Xenopus tropicalis: one gene and its partners. The protein of the gene in region 3 purifies or fractionates together with the protein of the main gene of each other region. This does not show direct contact. Links are inferred from orthologs where the notes say so. Each region holds a gene or a part of one and is shown on either strand. Other genes may lie near its edges.

The links.
Region 1: the proteins of pds5a (region 3) and wapl purify together in Homo sapiens (affinity purification with mass spectrometry; 6 studies listed by BioGRID and IntAct, with this or other methods). This does not show direct contact. The link is inferred for Xenopus tropicalis from reciprocal best matches to the Homo sapiens genes PDS5A and WAPL.
Region 2: the proteins of pds5a (region 3) and cdca5 purify together in Homo sapiens (affinity purification with mass spectrometry; 4 studies listed by BioGRID and IntAct, with this or other methods). This does not show direct contact. The link is inferred for Xenopus tropicalis from reciprocal best matches to the Homo sapiens genes PDS5A and CDCA5.

What each region holds. Positions count from the first base shown.
Region 1 is NC_030683.2:49,054,771-49,061,294, forward strand, and holds part of wapl (wings apart-like protein homolog), read right to left. Parts: intron 5,510-6,524; coding exon 5,373-5,509; intron 4,919-5,372; coding exon 4,807-4,918; intron 2,928-4,806; coding exon 2,703-2,927; intron 1,930-2,702; coding exon 1,818-1,929; intron 299-1,817; coding exon 201-298; intron 1-200. UniProt on the Homo sapiens protein: Regulator of sister chromatid cohesion in mitosis which negatively regulates cohesin association with chromatin. Involved in both sister chromatid cohesion during interphase and sister-chromatid resolution during early stages of mitosis.
Region 2 is NC_030680.2:33,585,143-33,591,592, reverse strand, and holds the end of cdca5 (sororin), read left to right. Parts: intron 1-746; coding exon 747-802; intron 803-1,241; coding exon 1,242-1,304; intron 1,305-2,249; coding exon 2,250-2,288; intron 2,289-3,336; coding exon 3,337-3,375; intron 3,376-3,528; coding exon 3,529-4,023; intron 4,024-4,817; coding exon 4,818-4,898; 3' UTR 4,899-4,970; downstream 4,971-6,450. UniProt on the Homo sapiens protein: Regulator of sister chromatid cohesion in mitosis stabilizing cohesin complex association with chromatin. May antagonize the action of WAPL which stimulates cohesin dissociation from chromatin.
Region 3 is NC_030677.2:36,255,674-36,262,197, reverse strand, and holds part of pds5a (sister chromatid cohesion protein PDS5 homolog A), read left to right. Parts: intron 1-627; coding exon 628-733; intron 734-1,256; coding exon 1,257-1,417; intron 1,418-2,410; coding exon 2,411-2,534; intron 2,535-3,268; coding exon 3,269-3,427; intron 3,428-3,526; coding exon 3,527-3,595; intron 3,596-4,970; coding exon 4,971-5,107; intron 5,108-5,352; coding exon 5,353-5,476; intron 5,477-6,524. UniProt on the Homo sapiens protein: Probable regulator of sister chromatid cohesion in mitosis which may stabilize cohesin complex association with chromatin. May couple sister chromatid cohesion during mitosis to DNA replication.

The sequences.
Region 1 (6,524 bases), on a different chromosome or scaffold from region 3:
TACACAAACATGTCCCCCTGCAGGCATTAAAAGAAATATGTAACTAACTGTACTCGGAAGGTACAAATCTCCATGTAACTTTAAGCTGAAAGGATGGCAATGGTTCTACAAACTAGAATCCATTTAAGATAAAATGTAATTTGTTTAATCATGTTATTACAGCTTTATGCTGAAGAAATAAGCAAACTTAGGACACTCACGCTCTCTAAGACCCGTAAACATCGTTCTGCTCCCCACAAAGAAGCAACTAATTTTTCTTCACTTTCATCACGGTCAAGGTGATTAGCACATTCTTTAACTATGAGGGGGGAAAAAATTGTTAAACACAAGGAAAACAAATACGGGACATAAAGGGCACATAATAAAAATATAAAATTGCTTAGAGTCAGAGCATGCTGCAGCAAGCCTTTTTTAATACTTCAGGATTGGGTCTAGTGCTCTCTAGGCTTAATCAAATAAAACTGAACGGGCATATCCTGCAGAGGGAAAATTATATTTTGCTGTTCTGACCAGCTGTTGCCTAGGCTGAACAGTAGAGGTCACTCAGAGTACATTCCATAAACTTAGCACAGTCAGAACTGCTGATATCTTAAAAAAAAAACACCAATATTAAAGTTAAAAATGTTCGTATTATAACACTGAAATTGTACAGTTATAATGTACCCTATACGTTTCTGTTAAAGGGAAACTTCACTGAGACACAACATGCATGCTGTCTGTGAAAACATCAATGTTTTAGTCCCTTCTCCCCTGCCAGGATTTTAAATAATGCAGAAACATATCATATTTATATGCTGAAATCCAGCTGCAAAAAAAAGGTCTTTATTCATACTTTTTGAAGGAACAGATTACAGCGATATGTATATTAGGGTTTTGTGTGGGGCTGTTTAACAAATCTTGATTCGGAAGCCAGAGTTCAACTTTAAAACAACTAAACAATGTTGCATGATAGAACAGTTTTATAACAAGCCCTTGTAATCCCTTACACACCAAAACACACTGTAGTTTATAAAATTTCCAGTCCCCAAATAAATCCCTGTATAATGAGCAACTCCTCAAGTTGCAGCAAGGGAAAAAAAAAACCTGCTCACTTGTACAGAGCTCATTATCTTTAAGTTGCAGCAAGGGGAAGGTAGTATAGGTAAATGCAAAGAAATGAACTGTAGCCGTGATATATTATATATGAAAATTCTTCCGTCAACCCCCCCCCCCCTTAGCTCCATTTGCATATGTCTAAATCTTTTGTGAAGGATTCTGGGTAGGGCTGAATCCCAAAATAGTGGATATGGTGAATTCATAACAAAAATCAAGTAGTAGTGATTAAAACATCCCTTGCAACATAAGCTCTATTACATCAGACCTAAAGGTGGCCATATATGGGCCAAGTTTAGCTGCCAACTGGGCCTCACCAAATAAGCCTGTACACCAGGAAAAGGACTGCTAAACTTTGAGCACCCCTTGCTAAATTTTGTTAATACTGTAAGTGAAAAAGTAGGAAATATCTAATACAGGTATATGTGTGTTTAAAATACAAGACATTTGCAAATGCTATGGCAGTTAAATTTTATTTCACAGACTTTAAAACACAGAAACACAAAAAATAGTAATTGTGGCAATTGCCAATTTTATTATAAAATATTATAAAAAGTTATGTGTACATTTAATTGCTATAATCATAATTATCCTCCTATTATTATTATCAACATTTATTTATAAAGCACCAACATATTCTGCAGCGCTGTAAAATAAGTTAGGATAGTGTAACAGAAGTGCTAAAGGTGTAGGACTGTATGTATAATTAAAGCAACAGAACATACCTTTATCCACAATATGATCAAGACCACCTAGAAGTCTTAACTCCTCTTTAAACCAGTCTCCTGCTCGTTTTGACGTAAGAGATAGTAATGTTTCCATTGCCAAGTGTCCAGTCTGTGTTGAGGACAAAAAGCCAAATGAACAGATAAATAGAAAAACACACCAACCACATGTAGGAATGTTTTCCGGATTAATAACTGCTTGTCTGCAATAGAACAAATTTAAGTGTTTTTAAAGTAATTAAAATATAATGTACTGTTGCCCTGCATTGGTATAACCGGTGTATTTGCTACAGAAACACTACAACAGTTTATATAAATAATGTGCTGTGTAGCTATGGGGCAGCAATTTAAGATGGAAAAATGAGAAAAAAGGCACAGGTAACACAGCAGATATCAGATAATCTCTGTAGAATAACTGGGTTTTAACTGTTATCTGCTCCTTTGAATAGCTACACAGCAGCTTTGGTTGTATAAACTATAGTAGTCTTTCAGTGGCAAAACACACCAGCTGCACCAGTGCAGGGCAACAGTACATTATATCGTAGTTACTTTTATACACTTTCATTTTTTGGTGCTACTGTTCCTTTAACTGCCAATACCATAGCTTTAATGTTTTCCCATTCCAAATTATGCTATAAGGAATGCATTTTGGCTAGCAACAAGCGGGAGACTATTTTGTAACTTGTGTCTTTAGCTTTAACTGAATGTGGCCATACATGTAAGAAAAACGGTCTTTCCTATGGAAAGTTGCGATTTGCTATAAAATAAAAAAAAAAGGAATCATGAAAAATAAAAAATCTAAATGCCACATAAAACCTGTTGAGAAGCCATATAAGTTACTTTAAAATTGTTACAAAGGAATGAACAACCCTGATAGGGACGTACCGTAATGTTTTCCAAATCTAAATGTTTGTTGTGGACAGTTTCACACAGTTTGCGTATCTTCTCTTTGATTTTGTTCATTTCTTTCTCATTCATTTGTCTGGCTGAGGGGTCTTGTTCCATTTCTAAAAGTCGGATCATAAGATCCAAGCTCGCCCTATCTAGGTCCATGTTTAAGCGATCCCTGCTCAGTATATACATCAGTGCAGCAGTGCAAAGTGCTAGATTCTAATAATGAAAAAACAAAACCAGATATAAACAAACAGATAAATGCTCATGAAAACAATGTACCATTACTTATTTTGAACTAATAAGATAATTCAGGAAAAAATATCCTTGTCAAGCTTAGCTGCCAATGAATAACAGACAGATTATGTTCTGCCCTGTTGAACTCTTAGCACCACTCAACTTTAAAAAAATATAGGGTATGGCATACTGTCATGGCAAAACAAGTTTTTTTTTTCAAAATGCATTTAATAGAGCTTCTTGAGCAGAATCCTGCATTGAAATCTGTTTTTCAAAAATCAAAAAATTTCACATGGGGTTAACCATGTTCTTCATTTCCCAGGGTGCCACAGCCATGTGACCTGAGCTCTGATAAACTTCAGTTATAGCCGATCAGCAGAACAATGGGAAGGCAGCAAGATAGCAGCTCCCAGTAGATAGCAGAATAGCACTCAATAGTAAGAAATCCAAGCCCCACTTAAAGGAACAGTAACACCAAAAAATGAAAGTGTATAAAAGTAATTACAATATAATGTACTGTTGCCCTGCACTGGTACAACTGGTGTGTTTGCCTCAGAAAGACTACTATAGTTTATATAAGTAAGCTGCTGTGTAGCCATCGGGGCAGCCATTCAAAGGAGAAAAGGCACAGGTTACATAGCAGATAACAGACAAACCCCCATTATATGGGGCTTATCTACTAGTTTTCTGCTATGTAACCTGTGCCTTTTCTCCTTTTTTCCAGCTTGAATGGCTGCCCCCATGGCTACACAGCAGCTTATTTATATAGTAGCTTTTCTGAAGCAAAAACACCAGTTTTTTTGCAGAGCAATAGCACATTATATTTTAATTACTTTAAAACAATTTAAGTTTTTGATGTTACTGTTTCTTTAAGGGCTCTGGCACATGGGGAGATTAGTCGCCCGTGACAAATCTCCCTGTTAGCGGGCGACTAATCTCCCCGAAATGCCATCCTATCGGCGAAAATGTAAATCGCCGGTGAGATGGCATACGCGGCGGCGCGATTTCAGTGACATCGCGGAAGTTGCCTCGAGAGGAAACTTCTGCGATTTCACTGGAATCGCGCCACCGCGTATGCCATCCCACCGGCGATTTACATTTTCGCTGATGGAATGGCATTTCGGGGAGATTAGTCGCCCGCGAACAGGGAGATTTGTCACAGGCGACTAATCTCCCTGTGTGCCAGAGCCCTAAGACTCCTCCAGTTACATGGAGGCAGGAAAAACAATAGGTTATCTGAAAGCAGTTCTAATGTGTAGTGCTGGCTCTTTTTAAAAGCTCAGGCACAATGCACTGAGATGGCTGTCTACACACCAATATTACAAACTAAAAAAATATATATATATTTGTTGGTTCAAGAATTACCATTTTAAAATGTTAGAGTGAATAATTTACTATGTAAACAGCATAATTTAGAAATAAAAATGACACCATAAAAATCATGACAGAATCCCTGTCCCTAATGATGTGATGATTTAGCAGCAGATGTATCACATCAAAGTGCTACTGACATTCATTACTAATCATGCAGTACAGTACCATTCATGTCTATCAAAAGGAGAACTCAGCAAAGAAAAAGCGGTGGAGCTTCATTTTAGACTAGGAAGTAGCTAAGAAATTAGCTGCTTGTGACACAGAATCGACATGAGGGGCTTTTATGATAAAGGCTTACTTATCCTTAAAAAAAAAAATTATATATATTATACACACACACTTTTTTTTAATTTGTTTCTGCTTTACTGTTACCAGCGACCTAAAAAATTCTGAGGCTATTATTGTTATTTTTTATTATAATGATCTTTATTATAATAGTCCTAATGGTGCAATGAAAGCAAGTCTTGAGTTGACGGTTTGAAAATACCTGGTGTTGCTGACTATCATCCAGTGTTTTGAAGACCATGGCTACCATTCCATGCGCTCTCAGATGCATTCGGAAACTTGGCATGGCACATTTTGTCGCCAGGCTTATTACACTGTAACGAGGAGACGCATATATCAGTTTACAAAATTTACAAATCTTAACAGAGAGAACTATACAAAAAAATATATAATTTCTTAAAAATCAAGATGCAAAATAAAAAAATGTCCTATGACATGATTTCAGGATAAGAAATATAGTTAAATTGTAGTCTTCTTTAAAATAGATTTGTAATAACTTATTAAAAATTCCAGCCGTACAAGCAGTCATCCCAATCCTCCAAAGAAATCAGCTTAAAAAGGCCAGTGGTCAGCATATCACATATGCAACTCCGAATCAGCCACTTGTGATAATTTGCAACATTAATAAGGGGAAGACAGTGACAAGACTAGTTTACTACCTCTGTCACAGTTAGGTCAGTGAATCTGTTTAAGGCATAAAACCAAAAGCATGCATGCAGATATATGCAGAGACTGTTGGCACTGCCTAGGAAGGCATATATCTCTTACCTAAGGCAACGTGTGTTTATGGGCTGACTGCTTTTAAGCCCACTTAGCAGATATTCAATATCATCAGTGAATTCTTGATTCTCTCCAAATTCTACAACATCGTTGAAGTGCTTTACATGCTGAACTACAGTATATAACTAGAACAAAATAAAGGTATGTTACCAGCAGATTAAACAAAGTATACATAAAATAGACCTTTCTTTTTAGGGGCAAGTTACCACATGCAGATAACAGGCCAAATCAGTTGCACCTTAGCAGAAGATGCACAAACCTAAAATTTTATTCACATGGCCATATACCCATTAGATAAATATGAAAAAGGAGCTCTGCAGTGTATTGTTATTATTCTTTTAATGGACTTGCACTTTTACCCACTGTAATCAAAATGAGTATATGTATGACCAGCTTTAGTCTTTGAAATAGAAGCAATCTATTCCAGTTTTGTTTTTTACTGTTATTTAAAGGAGAAGGAAAGGCTAACAAAGAGTTAATATCTCAAGCTGCAGGCATACCTTCAGTTGTCTCAATAGTGCCCTTAAGTCCCCCCCATATTTCTCCCGTTCAGTTGATCAGAAGTCTCAAAGGAAAAAAAACGCTGAGCTCTGTAAAGAAAGTTCCCATAATTCCTCACACACTGCACTGCACCAAGACCGGTGTGTATGTGCAGTTTGTAAGACTATGAGGAAGCTTCCTGCTGATTGGCTCAGATCACATATTCCTAAGGGGGGGGGGGGTTCTTAGCATTTTTGAGGGAGGGGCGGGAGCAGGAGAGAGGAGAGAGCTGCGTGTCTCCGGTACAGGAAAACAAAGACAACAAATCCTGTTTCTCTTGCAGAGAATTCAGTGCAGCATTTCTGCGAGTGCTTATGGCTGTATTTACATAGACCTTTCTGATAAAGCTTAGTTTTTAGCTTTCCTTCTCCTTTAAATGATACTTCCTTCCCATTTCCTTTCTTACACCTGAGTAAATATTCTTAGGTTGGCCACTTACATTTCATTCCTGTGAGGTTTTCTATCTTTTTAAAAGGACAAACATTTTTGGTCTGTGAATCTCCTTCCCACTCGCTGTACTGAAGTTATACGGAATGAATACTTAATCAACAAATCATGTATATCAGAAAATATTTTCCATTTACCATATATACTCGAGTA
Region 2 (6,450 bases), on a different chromosome or scaffold from region 3:
TAATACATTAATTGTACAAAGGGACATGTCATTAAAAGTTTTCAGTTTGCTTATTATTGATATAAAGATAAGTATTAGAGTACATAATATATACACTATCCTATTTTCCAGACATAGGAATATTTTACTTTTATGCAAGAATGTTTATTAAGCTTGCCACACACACCAATATGATCATGTCGCACCAATATATTCATCCAAAACAAAGTTTCATACAATTTTTGGACTGTGTGGCATTCGAATTATCCTCCAGACAATTTTTATACCATGGCAATTAGAAACAGCGCTGCATATTTCTACTGTATTCCAAATAATGTTGAATGTGTTTTTTTTGCATTATTGCAGAATGTTTCACATGATTAAAATATCTGCCTATGTGTTTTTTTTTTTTTTTATAATAATATTCACAAGTGGACTTATTACAATAATTGGTTATGTTCCACTGAATACCCCCTCCCCTTTTGAGTACTGCTTGGCATTTACTTGAATGGGAAAACACTTTTTGTACTAGTAAGCTGATATAGTTTGGGAAAACAGATTTCCCGAGTGATATTGACATTATGGCAAATGTGAATGGGATGCTGATGTTGGCAGTGGTGTTCCTTCCTTTCAGGACCTGTAATGATCAAAACTCTTGTGATTTTTACCCTCATGTTCTCTGCCATAGTATGTCTGGGGATGTTTTGATTTGTTGTATATTATTTTAACACTTGTATCTCATTTTTTGCCACCCTTTTCATTTGCAGGTATCGTCTCTCCACCTAAAAGAAGATCCCAAAGAAAATCTGCTTCAGACAGTCCGGTATGTTCTTTACTTTCCATCCCTCTATTAGCCAGCTCCATTCAACACTCTAGTAAAGGGAAAATCCACCTTGAAGCAATCTTGTCCTGTTCTTTTAAGTTGATCTTCACTTTCCATAGTTGTTATAATTTGCATTCCTCTACCCATTTCCAGCATTTAAAAAGATTCAGAGACCCGGCACCCAAAAGACTATTGATCTCCGAATCTACAATTTTATTGCAACTTGCCCCAGTCCCTTTTACCTTCCAGTCTATTATTTAAACCACTGTCTTGCAGCTGTGGTACATTGGACCCTAGCAATCAGATAACCTAAATTCCAAATCCACAAAAAATGAAGGCCATTTGGAAATCATCTGATAATATACTGTCTACACCATACTGAAAGTAAATTAAAGGTGAATGACCCCTTTTAAGTTATTTTAAATTTTGTATTTTTCAGATCCCAGATCCTATCATGAAACGTTCAATTACGGTCAAGAAAATAATGCCCAGAAAAACACTGGTAAATATACTGTCGTGTTATGAAAAAAGAAAGCTTTACCCTTCTTCTGATATAATAATATTGGGGACTAATGCATATATAAAAGGAAGTAGCTAGTTCCGCTCACATTAGTGCTGAGTGAAGCAGGGGGAATAATATAGCTACTTTGTGACTCACTACAACACCAGGTGGGGAAATATAGGCACCTAGGCTTCATTTAATGGTAATTTTTTCCTGGTGCCAATATAATTATTTCTCTGGGAAGAGCATTACCTTTTTTGTAAATCCTTACATTCCCTGCTGCAATAGTGTCATTCTCCCATTGTTCAGCACTGTAAATCTTTGTTGTCTTCAGTTCATAGTGTAAAAATTCTTTGTATGTTTTTATCAGTAAGATGCTACAATTTTTCCAAATTGTTGTGCATTTTTCTAGAATTATCAGAATTCTTGATTATTAATTATATAGGAACAGAAGTAAGATAAGATTTAACTTGTGCCAATCTATAATATATGATTATGTATTGCATGTTTAGTGTATGATTAGGCAATGCTGATTTACATTGGTGTATTTCCAAATTGCTCACTGATGTATTTTTGTCCTCTGTTTCCAAAACATAGCTACCAGCTCAGATTCCAGCATATGTTTTTTAAAACTTGCTCTCACACTACTTTTATTTAATTTGTACTTACCTGAACTGAATCAGAAGCATTTTTTCTAACATTTCAGACTCAATGTTGCTACTATAACTGGTTTCAGCACCCAAGGCCTGAACCTGACATTAGCAGAGTACAGACAGACTGCTGTATTTAATCCTCACATTCACATGGCAGAATCTTAGCCTTTGTAAGCATTATTTGGGTTGTACCAATTTCTAATCAACAGCAAAACTGAATTTCATCAAAGAAAACTGGTGCATTCCAGAATTTTTTTCTTATTTTCTGTATCATTCCTATTTGTCTTTTTAGGCAGCTATTGCCAATACAGGATCTCAGTCCACACCTAAGGTAGGTCTTGACAATTTAAGTAACAAAAATCTCATGATTTCCAGCATTTAAGTGATGCTAAAAAATAACTAGTGTAAATGCCTCTGCTATTTGACTTAAGGTGGCCATACACAGGCTGATTCTAGCTGCCGATATTAGTCCTTTAGACCGATGCAGCAGCTTATCGGCCCATCTATGGGCACTAACGACAGGCCTGCCCGACCGACATTTGGCCTGAAATCATTCAGATCTCGATCGGGCAGGTTTGTCTTTTTGTCAGATCGGACAGCACCTATACCCGCCGTTCTAATTCAATCTGTATAAGCCTGATGTTGCCCGCCCGTAGGTGGGGATATCAGGAGAAGATACGCTCGCTTGGCGACCTCGCCAAGTGAACAGATCTTGCCGTGTATGGCCACCTTTAGCCTAAGCTGACTCCAATTGATGGGAAGTGACCTGTACTGAGAAGTGAACCGTTCCCCCAAGCATAAGATTGCTTTATGAATCCTGTACCATATCTGACTGATACAGTACAATTTCTACAAGTAGTTTATGTATGATGTAGGCATTAAAATGTACAACATACATTTCATCTTGTTGGATCTATGATAAAGTATGTGGAAAATGCCCTGCCAGTGTGAAGCAGTAAGATAGTTGATATTTGTATAGGAAGATAAATGCCTTACTATCTTGTTAATCTCTTCCCTGTTGTGGCTTTTTGGTGCATCCCACTTGTTTACAAGCAAAACATGATATGGTTGTCACTCTGGGCTGAGGATGTATTTACCTAGATTGCAGTCCTTTTACAGGTTTGGCCTGTCAGTAATGCTGGGCTGGGTGGTTGGTTAAGGGGTATTTAAAAAAGAAAAAAAAATAGGTTTGTGGGAGTGATACCGATCCCTATTGTGGATAGAAACGTGTTATTAATTTAAATGATTATATAGTTTTAGCTCTTTTCAATGTATATTAAATGGGTTTTGGCGGTCAGACTGCAGTATAGTGAGTTGCTTCCATAGCCGTAGTGTTTTGTTCATTGACTGTTTCCTGATTTTCTTTATTCTTTAAACAGGTTTTGAATGTCACAGCAGCTCCAAGGAGAAGTTCACGGGTAAGTTATTTTCAACATCTGATGCAAACCTTTTTTTTTTTTTTCATCTGCCTCACTGTTGGCATGAAACGTGCATTAGTTTTCTCTCTGTTGCCTTGGGCTGGTAAAGAACCTATTTTTATCCTGTCTTTTTTTTTTTTTTTTTTTTTGCAGATTTCACCAAAGATCCAAAAAGAAAATGCAATTTCTGAAAAATCACAGATGGTCCCCAAAGAGGCAACCAGCAAGCCTTCTGCTCCAGAAATTGATGTTCTATCTCCAATTCCTGTCAATATCCAAATGTCTTCTAACCAGGATAACAGAGACATTGTTATGTCCCAGAAAGTCCGGCGTTCCTACAGTCGTTTGGAAATGTCCCTCAATAGCAGCTCATTTTTATACAGCCCCACAAGGAAAACTGACTCATCTGATACATCCACTCCAAACGCAGTCCCAAAATCAGGCCGGAGATCTCTGTTTGGTTTTGATAAACTGCTGAACTCTGAAATGCCAGAGGGGGAGTTGAGAAAAAGTGGTAGTGGGACTAGGGAGAAGACTGCTAATGAGAAAACCTTGGGTACAATATTACCTGAAGAGCCAGACCACAATATTCCTGGAGTTGTGCTGGCAAAGCAGAAGAGGAGAAAGCGAAAAGTCCCCGTTATAGAGGTGAGGTGGTGGTTACACTTTCCCGTAGGGGAGGGAGTTGGTTATGAGTGGATCAGTAGGCATAATAAAGGTGGCAATGCTGAGTCAAACTCTATGGTAGTCAAGGCAATCAACCCTCTGGCTGATCAAGTGGATACCAATATTGAGGGGCCATACACATTTGGGAACTTATTGTATTCTTTAAATTCGGGTTAACTACTAAATCATCGTAATAGCAGAAATAAACAGGAGCAGTGACTCCTTTTCACTTCCTTTTGGCTGACATTTTCTATTTGGAGCAATAATCCTCAATCCACCGGGGTTGCAGGAGTATATGTCTGAATGGCCCTATAGTGTTCAGGTATGCACAGATGATCTGGCAGTATGATCGAAATCTGCCAAACAGCTGGGCATGTACGGCCAGCTTTATTGTCTCAGGTTATCACACATGAGAAAGATATGCATCCTCCTTCACCTTCCAGTCCAATTCCTTGTGCTTCAGCCATTATGATTTCCCCTGGCTCTGATTGCCCTGAATTCAGTCTCCCCTATTTAATCCTGTTCAATAACACACTATTCTATTTCTTTAATTCATTACTTATCCTTTTTTTCTCTTAGTCTATCTCACAGCTCTTGTTCGTCTTCATTTATGTCTGTACTTTTCTTTCCCCATTCTTATATTTCCATGTCATAGTTCTGCTCTTAAAATAAGAAACTTGAATGTGTTTTTTTTTGAGTTTTACATTATCAAGTCTAGTAAATTTGCAAGTCAACTTTGTATTTAATGCTACAATATTTGTACCTCTCTTTTCTAGAAGTCTGATATGGATGAATGGGCGGCCGTTATGAATGCAGAATTTGAGGAAGCTGAAAAGTTTGATCTTACTGTTGAGTGATGAGAACTTGAATCCTCGTGTCCATCTTTTTATCACCATTTGTTTACTATACAGACTATTCATTCCTTCGGATTTTGTGTAGATCTTCTGTCTTTCTAAATATATATGTTTAGGAGGGTGCAGGTATAGGTGATCATCAGATTGAACTTCAGTGCTGCATGGTTCTATAGCCATAGATTCATGTAGAAAACTATGAAAGTCAAGTCTTCTACATTGGTATAACTGACTGCAATGTAGAATGGCCAGTATTTCCTTTATTAGTTTGTTACCTACATGAAGAAGCCATAATTAACATCAGATGAACCATGAATATTAAGTTACATGCATTATATATTGGTACCTTCAGAAATCTTCTGTCTTTTTATTTTGTACGCCATTGAGCTGAATAATGTGTGTGGACCGTAATGGGAAGTAATAAGGCAGCTCTTCATAGTGAGTTTATTGCCTGCTGTTTGGGAGGAAGAGGTTATTTTTGTTTTAATATTCTATTAATGATTTATTTTGTCAATATTAAACAGGCAGTGCAAAATGTAAGTCTGTAGACATCTGGAAACTTGGGCATAGATTCATTCTGAGCGAGACTTTTATGCCTGAGAAAGAAATGTAAGCACTGCACAAAATGCTTTTCTGTTTGTGCCTAGTGGTTTGCTAAGAGTCTCTGTGCTTTTTGCTGACAGCAGGCCAAGCTTAATTGTAGCAGCAAAAGGGTATTATTGTGCCCTCAGTGTGGTTGTAATAGGCACATATAGACTGAAGCACTGAAAGGTCTTTAATACCTAACCATAGTCTGCTTCCTGCCATTAGCATCATATTCAAAGTTTATAGAAACCTGTTGACATGCAATGAAGCTGGCACTGTTGTATGGTATGTCCTTTACATACAGTCACATATCTCCTGGTAAAAATGAATAGGGGTGCATACAGATCCAAAAGAACAAAGAAGCTTTGCTCCACCTGTAAAAAAGAAAACAAAAAAGTACATTGCAAAAGTGTAACACAAGGCAGATTATAATTCCTTCCTGTCAAGTATCTGACTTTAATCAGTTGTTAATCATCATGTTTTTGAACAATGGCCTGTATTTGTTTATAAAGAACACCCCCTCCCCCCTCGACTGGTATTATAGGATCTGTATTGGCTTATACTAATGTATAACTGCTCCACTGCAATCGATTGCTAGAGGTAATGATTGGTGCTCAACCAAGACCTTTGGGAGACATTTCCTACAAACTATCCTGCAGCAGACTGAGAAATTAGAGCTGATTATCTATATATGGGCAGACCTTTTGTCTGTGGCCAGGGAAGGAGGGTGACATTTTTATTTGAGCAGGCTACCAATAGATGGGTGGGTGGGGTAAAGTTCAAAATATGAATTATTCCCTAAATGTGGCTGTGGGCCAGTCAGATAAAGTGACCATTATGTATGAGACATTTTATTTTAGGGGGAAAAAAACTGTTTTAAAGGACACTTTATTACAACTTTTTGGAGTACGTTGGGGGTAAATATGTTCCAGTGTGTAACAGTTCGAGTTCAAAATAATGCAAATGGTTAACA
Region 3 (6,524 bases):
GGTAATTTCAACTGAAATTGTGAATTGTAGAGCTGCTAAACAAAAATCAAAAACCACAGAATTTCTACATCATACTTACAGTTAATTTTAAGGTGAACAACCCTTTTAAGGGTTTATCAATGACCTGACTTTAAAAACTCTAATTTGAGACAGTTGGGGAATTCACAGTTTGTATAAATGTACTTTAATGCAGTTGCTGCAAAAGCTTATATCAAGCTTTTTTTCTACAATTTATCTATGTGCATATACTGTAAATGTGAGCTGGTGAGGCCTAGACTGGCCCATCCTTTGGTTATCCTGTAGGTGTGGCTTTCCACAGGGATACTGATACCTCCTCCTGTTGCTGGGGGCTGGCACATTATGCTTCCATTTTAAATTATAATTCACCAGAAGCTGTACTGGAAGGTTGGGGATGGAATGGAAAAGAGGAGGGGGGACCTGGCACACACAATAGTGAGGAAGTATAGCTGTCACACAGACTTGGGAATAGAGACCTAGCCCTGAACTTAGGCAGTGGGAGAGGTGAGAGAGAGTTGGAACCTGAACATGAAAGAGAGAGAGCCATAAACTTGTGATAATAACCACCTATTATTCATGTTGGTATTTGCTTGATATGTTTCTTTCCAGTGCTCTAGTGAAGCTAATGAATAAGTCAATAGAAGGTACAGCTGATGATGAAGAGGAGGGTGTGAGCCCTGATTCTGCCATAAGGGCAGGTTTGGAACTGCTAAAGGTACGTTGTTAAGTAATTTCCTTGCTCAAAACACCAGTCATGTCAGAAAATTGAAAATACTGTGCTTTACTATATCCAGATGTGCAGACTAGTGTTGTATATGTTCCCATATATTTGTGTGTGTTTGTCTCCACTGGATTTAAACCCCTGACAATTATGAAAAAGCTGGATGCACAGGTCAAAATATTAATATACTGTAAATAGTAATTGTACCAGCACTCCCTTTTCTTGTATAAAAAGTGTGAATTCCATTCTATCAAGTTACACAATGCAAAAAATACATTTAATCCTCAGCTTTTCCATTAGACATATTTTGAAGTAAAGGTAAACCATAGCAGCCGTCTACTATAACAGGAAACTGCTGCTCTTGAAACATTGTTCAGGGTTTTGCTTGCCGTTCGTTCTCTTGTTGTAGACTGTTAATGTTTATTTATAGAAAGTCTCATTTGATAACATGAATGGCGCACATAGTACATATTATCTCTTAACCTTCCATGGCATATATATATTTTTTTTTTTTCAGGTACTTTCCTTCACCCACCCTACCTCATTTCATTCTGCTGAAACATATGAATCCTTCCTTCAGTGCCTCCGTATGGAAGATGATAAAGTAGCTGAAGCAGCTATCCAGATCTTTAGAAACACAGGGCACAAAATTGAGACTGACCTGCCACAGATTAGATCGTAAGTTTCCTTTTGCTGCCACGAGAAACAAAGCCCATGATAATCACTCAAGTCATTTAGTTGTTTAGGTGTTTGTAGCACTGAGTACTACTGTACAGCTTCAGTTATGTCCCTCAATTCTTATCCCAGTGAGACCCCAGCATAAGAGAGGGTGCAGACAGGTTCCCAGAGTGCTGCACCATTTTAGGGGTGCTCATATTGTTAGGTTAAACAAGCTTGAATCTCCATGAGCTTGTTTTGAGTCCATTTGGAGCAACCCACTTTATAGCCACTCTGGGACTGCCCATCAAACTTTCCTTTCCAGCTTTACTTTGATAGCTGCATATCTCCACCCAAATACAGCTTTTTGAAAAGTAAACATAATTTCAATTAAATTTGCAATATACATCAATTGATTGTTTTTAATGTAATATGGTTTTGAAACGGTTACCTAAGCCTGCTCCCCTGATCTCCTGCTGATCTGGCTGACTACTTTGAGACTCAAAAAAATGTAACCACAGTCAACTGTCCTCAGCCTGCCTTAGGGTGAAGACAGGCTCTTTAACAAATTTTGTTTTTGAAGCCTGAGTTCCCCTTTAAGTATTAGTATGAGTTCAAAGGAACTGTAACATCACTTTTTAACATTTGAAGTATCTTTTCTAAATACTTTTGTTAGGAAATTTACCTTACCATTACTTTATTGAGCTCAGGTAGCAGATCGCATAGTAGAAAGACAAAAAGGCAACAGCAGCCCACATTTGATATTCATATTGTAGATTTTGGGCCTTTAAACATGGGCAATTTTTTCATGTATATGAATTACTAGAAAATGGTTTTGTAATTCACTTGCAGTCCATTCACAAAAGACAAGGGCTATTTTGATCATTTTGGCATTTGGCAAGACTTTCAAATTGTTCTACCTGCCACTGGCCAGTTGCACCAAATTCTGATTTTGGTAAACTGCAGTTTCTATGAATAATCAATAATCAAAGTTGGTTTTTTCTCTGTTATTAGCGCACTTATCCCAATATTGCACCAAAAAGCCAAAAGAGGAACCCCGCACCAAGCAAAGCAAGCTGTGCACTGCATCCATTCTATATTTTCCAACAAGGAAGTGCAGCTGGCTCAAATATTTGAGGTAACAATTTCTTTATTCTAGACAGGTTATTGTATTGACTAGAAAATTGGAATGCTGTTTATCTTGTATTGCACAGAAAAACCTTCCTTTATCAATCTTTATCTCTTGAGTAATTTAACAACCGCATTTTCAAAAACAGAATGATTTTTTTTTTTTTGTCTTCAGTACTATCTAAGCTAATATCAAATGCAGGGTGCAGGCTTATTAGGGCGAATGCAAGTCCATCAGAAATTATTTGTTTAAATAGGAAACTGCTAAAGGGATAGACAATGCTGTATTCTGAAATCAATCAGGGACCAGACAAAAGGTGTTGGACCTTCATGGGGGGAGTTGTTTGGCAAAAATGTAATATATAAACGCTGGATTGGGCAGATGTCTAACATAATAGCCAGAACACTACTTCCTGCTTTCAAGAAGCAGTCTATCTATTGTACCTAGTTTCATTTTTCATAATTTGTCACTCTGGGCTAATAAAGATCATTATCTTTAAAAATGGCCCCTTTATTGGAGCTCCCTATAGATCTTTTGAGGGAATTTCTCAATAAATTAGCCCGAAACACATCATTTTTTATTTTATTTTTTTTAACACGTTCCTTCAGATGAGTATAACTCACTGACACACATTCAGGTTCAGATTCAGTTTGGAATTTTTAGCAGCATGTTAGAAAGTTGTAGAAGATAATAGGTTATATTTTATCTTTTAATTGGTGTGTTCATTGTCTGCTCTCTTCCAGCCCCTCAGTAGAAGCTTAAACGCAGATGTACCAGAACAGCTAGTTACACCTCTAGTCTCTCTGGGTCACATTTCTATGTTGGCTCCTGACCAATTTGCTTCTCCAATGAAATCTGTTGTGGCAAACTTCATTGTAAAGGATCTTCTTATGAACGACCGGGTATGTCTCCTTTCCACCCCAAACCCCCAATCCCTTGGTACTTAATTGAAATAATGATGTAACGTTAATGTAAATCTATTTTGTTTCTCAAATTTCTAGTCCAATGGTGACAAGAATGGCAAACTGTGGTGCCCAGATGAGGAAGTATCGCCAGAAGTTCTTGCTAAAGTAAGATTGTCCTCATTTCAGCCAAAATACCAGAAAGCCATATTGAAAGTAACACCAAAAAATAAGTGTTTAAAGTAATTCAAAAACTAAGTACTTTTAGCCTGCATTGGTAAGTTGTGTGTTTTCTTCTGGAATAATAACCCAGAACAAATTATCACATGCCTATGATCAAGTGCGATGACGCACAAAACGCATCCAGCTTAATAATTGTAATGGAGAAATAAAGTTTTTGGTTTTCAGAACATCCCTTTGGGTCCTTTTATGCGTAGAATTCCATTTGGTTCCATTTAGTTTCCTTTTTGCTTCTGGAACATTACAATAGTTTATATAAATTAGCTGCTGTGTAGCCATGGGGGGGGCAGCCATTCAAGCTGGAGAAAAGGCACAGGCTGCACAGCAGATAACAGATAAACTCTGTAGATGATTGTGTTTTATCTGTCATCTGCTATGCAACCTGTGACTTTTCACGTTTTGAATGGCTGCCCCCATTGCTACACAGCAGGGTATTTATATAAACTATAGTAGTCTTTCTGAAGCAAACACACAACTTTACCCAGTGCAGGGCAGCAGTACATTATAATTTCTTTGATACATTTTCATTTTTTGGTGTTACTGTTCCTTTAACATCAACTTGGGGGGCACAGGAACAGTATGGTATAGCCTCCACCAGTGCCTGTCCAAGCCACACAGACCCTGCTTTATCAGCATTAATTTGGCTGCCTCCGTTATATAAGGGCTGCGTGTCCTAGTGCCCCTGCCGTATAAATTAAGCATTTTTTCCTCATGTTTAGGGCATTCTCTGTTTTAAACAGATATCTGACTCCAGGGGTTGTCCTTTAGCCCTGTAAGGGGGCTTCCCCCTCAGTTGAATTCCTCTTCAAGGGCTCTTGGTACTTCTAAGCTCAGAGCATTTCCTCATCTCCAGGTTTCCAAAAGAGGACGACGAGGAGACAAATCATTCGAGACTTTGGTTCAGATTTGGCCAATCTTTTTTTTTTTTAAAAGGAAAACTAGCACTAAAATGCATTCTCATCCTGGGATGCTCTGACTTAAACATGTTACAAATGTATTAAAGAACATGTTTCAAGGCTGGCTTGGGATTATAATTGTGCAGATAATGTGAGTAGTAGCCAGCATAGCTTTTGTAAAGATGCGTTTGTCAATGGGTGATCCTCTGAAATTATGTAATATACCACAAATTTGGCTAGTGAGGCCAATGATCTCTAATCTTTTTACTTAGCAGTATTCAGAGCAGAAGAATGCCAATACTGGTGTATTGAATATATGTAGCACTGTATCTTGGTACCAAAAAAATAGTAGTTTTCATAAGTTTAATGCAAGAGCTATTTATATGATTAATACTGTCTCTTATCAGGGCCAAGCAATAAAGCTATTAGTTCGTTGGTTGCTGGGCATGAAAAACAACCAGTCAAAGTCAGCAAACTCCACGCTACGGTTATTATCGGCTATGCTTGTGAGCGAGGGAGATCTGACGGAACAGAAGAGAATAAGGTACATTTTAAGACTATTGTGCAAGACCTTTGCTGGATTTTTGCTGGATTTAGTAGAAGTAGGAAGGAAGTTAAAGCGCTTCCTTATTTTGCTGACATGCTTTACCCACCATTATGATTTCTGTCCCATTTGGTGTGCTTAGCTGCAGTGATTCATTTGCTTAATTTTGTATAAATGACTATTAGAAGACTATTCCTATCAGTCCCTTGCTGTATACTGACTCACATAATCTTACACTGTTTCAGTAAATCCGACATGTCTCGCTTGAGGTTGGCTGCTGGAGGTGCTATCATGAAGCTTGCTCAGGAACCATGCTATCATGAAATTATTACTCCCGAGCAGTTTCAGCTCTGTGCGTTGGTTATCAATGTAAGTTCCCCCATTCTAATCTTCTACATGTTTAAAGGGTAACAGGTTTGCTCAGCTGCACATACACCCAGAATTGTATACTAATGAATAGCTGTTTTTTGTGGCTATAACTGCCTGGCCATTCTGAGGGCCTGTCAGGGGTGCAGTTATTGTGGAAGACGTGTGATCAAAGTATTCCCTAGAAATTCTAGACCTCTCATTTTAACCAGCAGACAGAACCTCTTGTAATTAGAATGGACACGTCCACTGGAAGGATCTGTTAAATAAAGCATCCAAGAGTTTATTCTATAGTGCTCTTGTATATTTATACACAGTTATGAGGACCCCCCCCCTTCCTTTTTCTACAACATTTCCATTCCCAGTTGGCTAGTCCCACTTGCTATGTCCCTCATAAAACCATGCTGATTCTGCTTATAATGCCACTCTTCAGAACATAATCTTTAATGTGATTCCTTAAAAGATATGTAAGCCTTTATTTTAAAATCCTATAAAATTACTCTAAGCAGCCCCCAGAATAATCTACCTTTCTCCCTGCATGCAGATTGTTTTCCTCTATTACAGCCAGTTCAACTGCAGCACTTTTACCGACTTCCTTGTATAGCGTGACACTCCACCCCACTCCTCCTCTTTCTGATTATGAAGGCCTTAAATAGGTGCCTACTGGGCATACTCACTCTGTCTGGTTTAATTAAAATTAGGCATGTGCAGTAGGCACCTCTTTGAGGTCTTTATAGTCACAGACAAAAGAAATGCTCATAAAGCAAAAGGGGTGGGGCTTCATGCTAGACAAGGAAGTCAGTAAAAGAGATGGAGTTCAGCTGCTTGTAATAGAAAAACAAGATAAATCTGCATGCAGGGAGAAAGATATGTTATTCTAGGGGCTGTACAGTGTAATTTTGGAGATTTAAATAAGAAAAAGATTTACTTAACAAACCCTCATACAACTTGCCCACCATAGATTTATGGACATTGGCAGGATGAGAACTTTTTTTAAATGTAGTAATTACACACCACAGGTACCAGCTGAAAGGGAGTCTAAGAACTCAGT